2 linked regions of the Arabidopsis thaliana genome follow. The protein of the gene in region 2 interacts with the protein of the main gene of each other region in a pairwise test. Each region holds a gene or a part of one and is shown on either strand. Other genes may lie near its edges.

The links.
Region 1: the proteins of CER1 (region 2) and CB5-E interact in a two-hybrid assay, tested with the Arabidopsis thaliana proteins (one study listed by BioGRID).

Annotation. Positions count from the first base shown.
Region 1 is NC_003076.8:21,757,445-21,761,199, reverse strand, and holds CB5-E (cytochrome B5), read right to left. Parts: upstream 1,872-3,755; 5' UTR 1,736-1,871; intron 1,584-1,735; 5' UTR 1,573-1,583; coding exon 1,486-1,572; intron 1,253-1,485; coding exon 1,186-1,252; intron 1,098-1,185; coding exon 847-1,097; 3' UTR 622-846; downstream 1-621. Other genes in the region: AT5G53570 (Ypt/Rab-GAP domain of gyp1p superfamily protein), read left to right, coding at 1-276; YSL3 (YELLOW STRIPE like 3), read right to left, coding at 2,424-3,361, 3,440-3,557, 3,646-3,755. UniProt on the Arabidopsis thaliana protein: Membrane bound hemoprotein which function as an electron carrier for several membrane bound oxygenases, including fatty acid desaturases.
Region 2 is NC_003070.9:416,849-422,850, reverse strand, and holds CER1 (Fatty acid hydroxylase superfamily), read right to left. Parts: upstream 4,104-6,002; 5' UTR 4,034-4,103; coding exon 3,974-4,033; exon of another isoform or gene 3,928-3,973; coding exon of another isoform or gene 3,865-3,927; coding exon 3,641-3,864; intron 3,555-3,640; coding exon 3,322-3,554; exon of another isoform or gene 3,202-3,321; coding exon of another isoform or gene 3,177-3,201; coding exon 2,957-3,176; exon of another isoform or gene 2,358-2,956; coding exon of another isoform or gene 2,338-2,357; coding exon 1,962-2,337; intron 1,868-1,961; coding exon 1,760-1,867; intron 1,661-1,759; coding exon 1,460-1,660; intron 1,326-1,459; coding exon 1,218-1,325; intron 1,132-1,217; coding exon 943-1,131; intron 871-942; coding exon 697-870; 3' UTR 593-696; downstream 1-592. Other genes in the region: AT1G02190 (Fatty acid hydroxylase superfamily), read right to left, coding at 5,055-5,228, 5,331-5,603, 5,689-5,889. UniProt on the Arabidopsis thaliana protein: Aldehyde decarbonylase involved in the conversion of aldehydes to alkanes. Core component of a very-long-chain alkane synthesis complex. Involved in epicuticular wax biosynthesis and pollen fertility.

The sequences.
Region 1 (3,755 bases), on a different chromosome or scaffold from region 2:
CAAGCTGCCATTAGAGCTGGAGTTGGGAAGTCGCCATGGAGCAGAATCCGGCAACAAGCACCGCCAACGGATGATTTGTTGCTCTATGCAATCGCGGCGTTAGTACTACGTAGGAAACTGATCATACAGAAATACAGTAGTATGGATGAGATTGTGGAAGAGTGTAATAGCATGGCTGGTCAGCTTAATGTCTGGAAGCTTCTTGATGATGCCCATCATCTTGTCGTGACGCTTCACGACAAGATTGAAACTCTTTCTCAATCACAGAGTATTTGATGAAGAAGTCGATCAAAGCCAGAAATGAAGTGTTTCCACTACACAAAAGCCCTTGCACTCGTCTGGCTGCGTTTTCTCAAGGTTTAAAGTTTGTTGCGGTTTGGTTCTTACCGTTTTCACTCCTCTCTTTCTTTCTTCTTTCTTTTTGTTTACTCATCACACAGAGAAAACACAATACTACTATCCTTATCGCTTTTATTGTAGTACTAATGAAAAAGACAAGGCAATATTCTTGTTAAAATGTAACGGATGAGTCTGAAACTGTCATTTCCACAATTGTATGAAACATATTTGTTCAATTGTAGAAATCCAGTTTCTCACTTCTTTATCAAGCAGCTTAAGTTTGGGCAAATCAAGCAGTCTTTTATTATATCATCAAAGTCGAAAACACTGTCATCATAAACTCAACACAGTAAAACTAGTAGCAACACAATGATTTTTGGTTCGTAATTTCAACAAGAATCAGTCTAAGACCAAACAACAGTAACAGTACTTTTTTTCGCAAGAGAGATAGACAGAGATCGGTAGAGATATTCAATGACAAGCATCAAAGCAAGCCTTTGGCTTCTTCTAGTCTTTCTTGGTATAGTGACGGACGACAAGAGCCAATCCCAAGATCAAGATCGGAACAAGGAACTGAAGAATCTTGATAATGAATTCTGGTGTCTTGTCTTGGTTGTAGGCTGGTTGCTGTGGTGCAACGTATGTCCTAGTTGCTGGAACACTAGACGAATCAATCTCACCAATGAAATATTTGTCCATCATGTCCCTTGCAGTGTCGCTGTGACCAACGTCTTCAAAATCATTTGTAGCATCTTTCCCTGCAAACAAAACACCACATCAGAACAGAAACAGTCACCGAGCCGCTTCAAATCCGCCTTGAATCAGAGAGAAACACAAGTTTTATACCTGTTGAGGACAACAAGACTTCATCGCCTCCAGGATGATCATCCATGAATGGAGTCACATCATACACCTAAAGAACGCAACAATCACAGATCATAACCAAGTAGTAGACACAAACTCTGTTTCTCTAGTGTGAATTAACATAGAATCAACTAAATCTACGAGGGGCTCGATTAAAGCTTCTAACAGTAACAATCCAACTCTACAACTTTAAAATCGAAGCTTTGACACAAATCAATGGCGGAAGAGAACTAAGTTCGTCAAAAAACAGAGATGTTCTCAAACAAAGAGACAAGATCTAACCTTGCCGGAAATAATAAGCCAACAATCCTTAGTTTTGTTGTGCTTTGAAACTTCTTCAAAACTTAGAACCTTCCGATCTGAAGACATCTTCACTCAAACTGCAAAACAAGAACACATCAAAGCTACTAATCAAAATTTCTGATAATACAGAGTACTAGATACAGATTCAAATCGAAATCATCAGAACGATGATGAATGAACGAATATACTAATTCCCTTATCGATTTTTGGAAAAAGATGGGATCTTTACCCTTTCAGATTCAGAATTTTCGATAGCTCCGAAGCTCAGAAATCAGCAGAAGACGGAAGAAATAGAGGTTCCTCACCTACTTAATTGTGTTCAATATAAACAAAATACGAAACTACCCTCGATATTTTGCTTAGGGTTTGGATGAGCAGGGGTAGTTTTGGTCAAGTTGGGCTTTGACTTTAAACAAATCAAATTGGGCTTTGTGCAAATCAAATTAAAATTTGGTTTCCATTTTTGACGAGATTTTATTTTGGTCCACGTTTGGTACTTTGAAAAATACAAATATGACGTGTGCTGAATTGACAAAAAAAAAAACAGACACATAAAGTGTGATCTAACAACGTTTAGCAGATTTCAAAGAAAGAAATAAATCTTAAAATAGAAGAATCTTGCCTTTTGTCAGTAAAAACATATACCAATTTAACCGTATTTTTATCACTATTTTGGCAAATATCTTCTGGAATTTAATTCCATTTGACCTTATTCTAAAATATTGAGTTTCTTTTTGGGGAGAAGTTACTTGGGACATGGATTTTTAAATAGAATTGAGAGACTAGTTTATTACTTTATTGTGTATACAAACTTACAAAGTACAATTCCTATATAAACTGTTTTTTTTGTTTCCACAATTCTTTAGCTAATTTTTTTGTCGCTACACAAAAAAGTAAAAACTCGTAAAAAGCTATCTTTAACTCGAATATTTACTCGGCATGAAGCCCATACATATAGGAGGTCTAACGCCGGCCAAAGCAAGAACCGACGACGGCAAAATCCATAGACCATCTCCACATATCAAACCGGAAGCAACCGCCGGTACCATTAAACCGGCTTTAACTCGATCTCTCATATTCCAAGCAAACACAATCAAACTTCCCACACACATATCAATAGCAAAGTACCCTCCAACAAGAAACGGAACCGCCATTGCCATCGGTAATGGAACCCAATTCCCTATCTTATCCGGTAACCTATCCCTAACGAGATTTGCCGCCACCGCGAATGCGAAAAACCCGTAACAAAGCTGTAAACAATGTTGAGGCAAAGCAGAGAAACCTTCAACTCCAAGAATTGCCATGTTTCTGTATACCAAAGCGTAAGGAGCTTTGTACTCTCCCTCCTGGTTCCCGACATCGAAAGCTTTATAAAACAAGAAGAAAGTTAGAGGCGCCACAACGCATCCGATCGCTGTACCGATCGCTTGACTCACAAGCATCGACCTAGGTGAAGTCAGAGTCAAATGTCCTGTCTTGAAATCGTGCATTAGGTCAGAAGAAATCGATACAATCGATTTTATCAACCCGCATCCGACAAGTCCCGCGACTACACCATTTTGTTTCCCTGCCATAGCGGCTAAGATAAACAGAGCGACTTTACCATAGTTATAAGCCATGTTCATATCTGTTAGCCCTGCTCCATAAGCGTTACTGAAACCTAACGATGGAGCTAACATGTAAGCTACGACTATGAAGTACCATTTCAGCTCGGGGAACATTATAGGGATCGCGATGATCGAGACAACAGAGAACGCTGCGTATCCTACTGCTGCAACCCATAATGGAATGCTGTCTCTTACAAAGATCTCATCTCTTTTAAGATCTGCAATAGATTGCTTATCTTTCTCCGAATCTGCGATTTACGTTTGAACATCAGATAATACATTATTGAAATGACGATTTTTCTATAGTTTTTTTGGTGTATACTTACTAGATTTCCCAGAGTTGCGATTGTTTAACTTGACGTACATGTTTATTCCTGTCTTAAAAAGTATCTTGATGAATTGGTAAAGCCCGTCTCCGAGGATCAATGAGATTGATATAAACACCTAAAGAGTTATGAACAAATTAAGAACGAAAGTACGCGAAAGAAAGGGCGGAGTTTATTGTAGAGTACTAGTGTTTTTTGTATGGAACCTTGTAACCATTGAGACTCTTCATGCTGTTTTCAGGAAGAGTTGATGGGAACCAATCTCCTTTAAGACCTTTAATGAGTGGCCACATGATTCCCCAAGACAGAACCGCGC
Region 2 (6,002 bases):
AATTATATTTTTATATTTCTATTAGGTTTTGTTTTTGATAAGTGTTAAATTTTTAAATTTCATGAATTTATTCGTAACTTCATATTTTTATTTACATAATTATTTTTTAAATAGTACATTATCACTAATTTAATTATTTGTTAGTTTATTTAAGAAAACCAATAAATAATTTAAAAAACGGTGGTGGTATCCGTTTTGCCCGGCTCTAGCCACTGTGTATGAGAACTAACTACTAACTAACACCAATCAATGTATTCAAAACGGTTATTGACCACCAAATGATTTGAATAAGATAGGTGTTTCTCCTATAAGTGATGAGAGACCATTTGAATTGTCCTAGTAATAGCATCAAGCGATCCAAATGCTATGTTCTATGCTACTTAAATTTTGTAGAACTATAAAGTCTAGGAGTGGGAGAAGAAAAACTTAGATATTCTGGAACATGTTTGCTTTATATATATATGTTTCTTAGTTCACAAAGAGAAAAGGAAATAGTACTCTTATTAATACCATAGTCACCGAGCTTAATTTGACTCTATCAATACCATAATCACCAAAAGCTTGATATGCATAAATATATGTGTGCGCTTTATATATGTTTCATAGTTCATTTGTGCGTGGAAGAGCTGGATCATAAGGAAAAGAAGCACAGAGCGTGTCGCTCTCATTCTCCTAAAATCTTCCAAGGTTGGAGTTTTAATGATGTGGAAGGAGGAGAGGCTGGAAGCCGTGGCTGAGACAGGCTTCCCATACTTGGTCCAAATCCGAGAGAAGAAGGGATGTGCCACACTCATGCATTTCCCATCCTTCTAAGGCGTGCAATATGCCGGCCACTCTAGTTGCACTCATCGCCTTTCTCGGTAACCAGTTCTGCAGATGTTTTTTTTATAATAAGGACCTCTTCTAATAAATTAGTTGGATTGGGTAGCTTTGAATGCTTACCTCACAGGAGTGGACATTCACCAGAGATTTTGGAACTATCAATGCTGGTGTGGTATGATAGATACAATCTCTACGTAACTGCTTGAGGGGGAACTGTGAGAATGGTATAAACAATGTCCCTTTTGTGGCTTTTTCCTGCTCTTCTCTTGTTGTTCCTTCTCCCACCAGCCATACCTTCACCCAAAATCCCTTCATTAGTTTTCTTTATATAAGCTCTTTGAATATTTTCCTTCTGATTCTTTGATTAATTGTGCTTCTTTTGTATACTGAATTACCTTGTTTGATGAGAGTGCTTCAGAGGTTAAATAGACCAAATGGTCTCTGCATTCTTGTGGAACGCATGATCTTATTTTCTCATACTCGTCTAGGCGCAGAGTGGAGACCTGCGGATGACATTCACATGAAAATGTTACGAGTCATGAGCATAAATACATGTAGATAAAGCTTGGATTTTATTTTTCTCCTAGAGATCATCAATTTGATATCACAACATAGGAGCAAAAGGAAAACAAAGGACCTGAACGCCTCTCTGGCAGAGAGCAGAGGCGATGGTGTAGGCAACCTTAGTGAGATTGCCTGTCATCACGACGCTTGTAGTTGCTTTGGGTACACTGTTGATCACAACAGCTGCTGCTAATCTACTGCCGTCGACCAGTCTCACTTTCATATCTGGATGGTTGTGGATATACACCTCTCCGTTCCTGTTAAGCTCCTCCCCCTGTTTCAGTTCATCAAATTAAAGCTTTAACATACACTACGTAGTACGTACGGCATCTACCCAATATAAAACCAAAACAGTCAGAGATAGTTTCTTTACTTGGTTCATGAGACCCAGACTAAGCACCTTCACTCCTTTCTTATCTGCCTCCAGTATCGCTTTCTCAATCATGTTATTGATCGCTTCTTTCCTCCATTTTAACAAGTACTGCATGCATCATATATATATCACCATTAATATATATGCATCAGCAAGTTAACCAGCCTATATATATGATGATGATGATGATGATGATGAGGACCTGTAGATTATATCTAGGTATCACCCAAGACTGCAAGTTGAGCTTGTTGAAGGAGTTTCTCTCAGCGACAAAGAGGCGGGCGTAGAAGAGCGTGAATATCATGGAGAGAGAGGTGAAAGGCCACAAAAGGCGCATGAACCATCTATAAGCGAAGGGGTAGGAGGCAAATGAGGCCAAGCCAATGCGCAAATGGTATATGGATTCTGGCGTCGTCAGGTGAGTTAAGTGCACCACGTCCACTATATCATCTCCTCTTTCTAGAGTTTTCTCGTACAACGTATCCGTGCTTTCATCCATTGTGCCGTAGATGTAGTCATACAAGGGCATGAAGAGGGAGTAGTTGGTCCGGAACTGCGTGTGGTGCAGCGAGTGGTATCTGCAATTCTCATGCTCCATTTATTATCCAAACTTTAATGTATTTTAACTATTAAATTTTGCTTTCACATTGCGCTAAATTAATACCGAAGGAAAAAAAGTCACAAATATTTAAAAGTAAATATGAATCCAGAAGGTTTAATATAACTTGAGCGTTTAGAGGGACCACCTGCTACATATCGACTAATGAATTTGATATTTAAAATAGTTCTCAAAGGATGTTTGGTTAAAGATGCTATCAATGCGTAAAGTTGTGGGAAATTGGATTATGTGCCGATAAGTTGAACCATGTAAGATATATTAAATAATTGTTTTTTTTTCTGTTGTGGTCCAGGGATTCAGTAGTTGACGATCATATTAAGCATACAACTGTATCACGTCACCTTTATTTTATACAGGAATGGAGTACGTGTATGGAATTCTATTATAATAGCATATATCCCCTGTATTAGTATGATTTATCATTTGCTTAGATTTTATGATGACCATAAGAGGATTAATTAATATGATCTAACTAGGTATTTGTATCAGATCATCAAGAATGGTTTCTTGTAAATGCTTTTACTACGCCAAATTGGTAGTGTATGAAACAGAAGAGGAGTTGTTAATTAAGGACTTACGAGGGGGTGTAACAGAGGAACTTGAGGGGAGGAAAGAGGTGGAAAAGGCGCTTAGGGATTAGCTCGAAGTTGCAGTGTCCCATGTTGTTCATGAAGTCTATGTAGATTATGTATCCGGCGAACGAAATTATTGACGCCGTTTTTGTTAGCAACGTGGTAAGTAGTGGTATCGCGAAGAGGATGAAGTATGCTATGTGCTCCGCAAACGGATGTATCACCGCTGCATACATTTGATCAAATCCCATTATATACAGATAAAAGCTACTAGTTAGGACGTGAACGATGTATATTTTACGTATAATAATTATAAAAAGAAAAACGGAAATATAGGCAGCGTAAAAATCAAGGTAAGAAACAATAGTTACAAGTGATGGGCTCAGTGACGATAGAGGAGTGGTGGTGGGAATGGTAGCGGGAATAAAGAAAGTGATGGTGGAGAGCTTTGTGGAGCCAATAATAGAGGAACTCCACCGGTCCGGTGTGAATAAGCGCTGCCATCAACACTCCGTCAGTTCTCCACCAGGGAAGTTGTTTGGCCTCCGGCAATAGGTTGATGCCTATATAGAACAGCACTCCGTTGAACAATATTTGGTCATCCCTGCGCATATATCAGGATTTCATTAGTTACGTTGATTACATATACTCACGAGGCACGCAGGTAGTTAAAAATTTAGAAAAGCGCACCAGTTGGTCTCCCTGTCGACCTGATTGAAGTCGATTCCCTTGTCGACGATGCGTCTCTTTCCCGAGGACGTATAGTAACGGGACAGAGAGATCCAAACCTGGTTGTGCAGAATTCTGAAGAGCAAGAATGGGAACACAAGGAAGTACCCGAGATCCCTCTTCTCTGGATCATCTGTCACAAACCTGTATGTGCTATGGACAGCCCATGGTGCTATTACGATGTACTTTTGTATTGTTTCAATGTCAAGAAAAACATATATATCAGTAACGTAACGGGATTCGATCATAAGCACGCGTTTTTTTAAATTTAAAGGACAAGAAAACAGAGTGCACCTTGAAACTTCCGAGGGGTGTCCAAGGCCAATCGGTGAGGACTCCTGGTTTTGTGGCCATTATACCGTCGAATGTAATATGTTTGTGTCGTCACTGTGTCTCTTCAACTCTTGTGAGCCAAGGTACATTATATAGCAAGGTTTATATTAAACTCCTTAATTGGTAGATATGTGGAATGACGTAACCACCCCTATCTTCCCACCAGTCCAATTCCTTGTGGTGGGGCCAGCTAAGACCAAACATGTACTACTACCATTCGATGATCTCCACATGGATCCTCATTTATGACACTCAGCTAATTACCCCCTCCCACCTTCATCGATGTTCTGATATCATATCCATGCCTTGAGGAAATGCACCGGTTGATGGATGGCTTCATATATTTATTTCTGGATATTATTGAAAGGTAAGGGTATTTTACCAATGAAAGAATACTAATGAACCAAGTTGGGCATGTGTTAGGTATTGATGCTTGGAATTTACTAGCCAATCAAGATCATGCACGTTGAAGCGCCAGCTAGTGTCTGTTGCTCCGACATAAATGAAAGAAAAGTGAAAATATCTAGATCTAAGGACTAACCCCTTATACGAGAGCTATGAATAATACTTGTACGTTTCGTTTTTAGTAACTCCATCTCCCACCGCCACAATTTATATACGTATACGCACCCTACCAATCCTTAATTAGGTAGCAAGTGGACCATGCGGGGTAAGGACCATTTAAGTAAAAACCTCGTCCAGTTTTTGCAACTACTTTGATTTGATGATGCACCCAAATATATTTTGTTTTGTTTTTTTGTTTATTTTGTTAAATAGGCACGCAGATATATATCACTTAGTTAAGATGTAATGATCATAGCACTGTTTCTGAAGATTTTTATTGAGTTTTATAAAATTTAACTAAGCATATCATACGACGAATTTTTTTGCCCTTTCTAACATATATGAAGCACGTGGCACCAAGGGTAACAAGGGTACTTATATATTGTCGATAGAAAAACATAGTAAACAGCAAACAATGATGGAAGGGAAGTAGATATAATCAAGAAAGGGGACATAGATGTATGAATATGAAAAAAGCTCATAGAGGAGATGGTGGGAGAGGTTGGAAATCATGGCGAAGAGCAGCTTCCCATATGGCGTGGAGACGGAGGACGTTGCAAGTGTTGCCGCAGTCATGCTCCTCCCAACCCTCAAGTGCATGCACTATACCTCCTATTTTCCATGCACTCATCACCCTCCTCCCCAGCCAGTTCTATATATATATAACAACCATTCATTCATTATAGATGAACACATCTATCAGCTTATATAATATAAAAGTTACAGATATATCTATAAGAATTCAAAGATGTACCTCACAGGAGTCGATGTTTTGGGCAGACTTGGGAACACGCATAGCTGGAGTGGACTGGTAGAAACAGTCCTTGCGGAGTTTGTTGGGCGGAAAGTGAGAAAAGGGAACAAAGAGGGTTCCTTCTTTTGCTTTCATCTGCTCTTCGTTCTCTATTCCATCCCCCACCAACCACACCTTTGGGGAGTAATAACTATTGCTTGTAGACAGTACCAGATTCTTGTCAACCCCAGATTTGATGAGTTTGCTGTGTTCCTCCTCGCGTAACACGACCACCTATATATACACATTACTACATTATTTTTTGTTTGATATGAGAAGCTGAGTATATATATTCCAATTCCCTCATATATTCACAAACCTTGACGCCCTTTTGGCACAGAGCAAAGACAACAGCCGAAGCCACCTTTGTGAGATTTCCTCTAAAGACAATTTCCGTGGCTTCCTTTGGAATATTGTTGATAACCACCGTAGCTGCCATGCTGCTCCCGTCCACTAGTCTTATCTTCAACTTCGGATACTTTTGCACGTACATTTCTCCAGACCCGTTTAGTTCCTCCCTCTCATTAATTAATTGTGTGTTGATTAGTTACTTTTTTCTTTTGCCAGCGTGTGTAATTAGTTACAGTACTTATCCAATAGTGATTCATATATATTTAGGGGGATTTGAAGTAA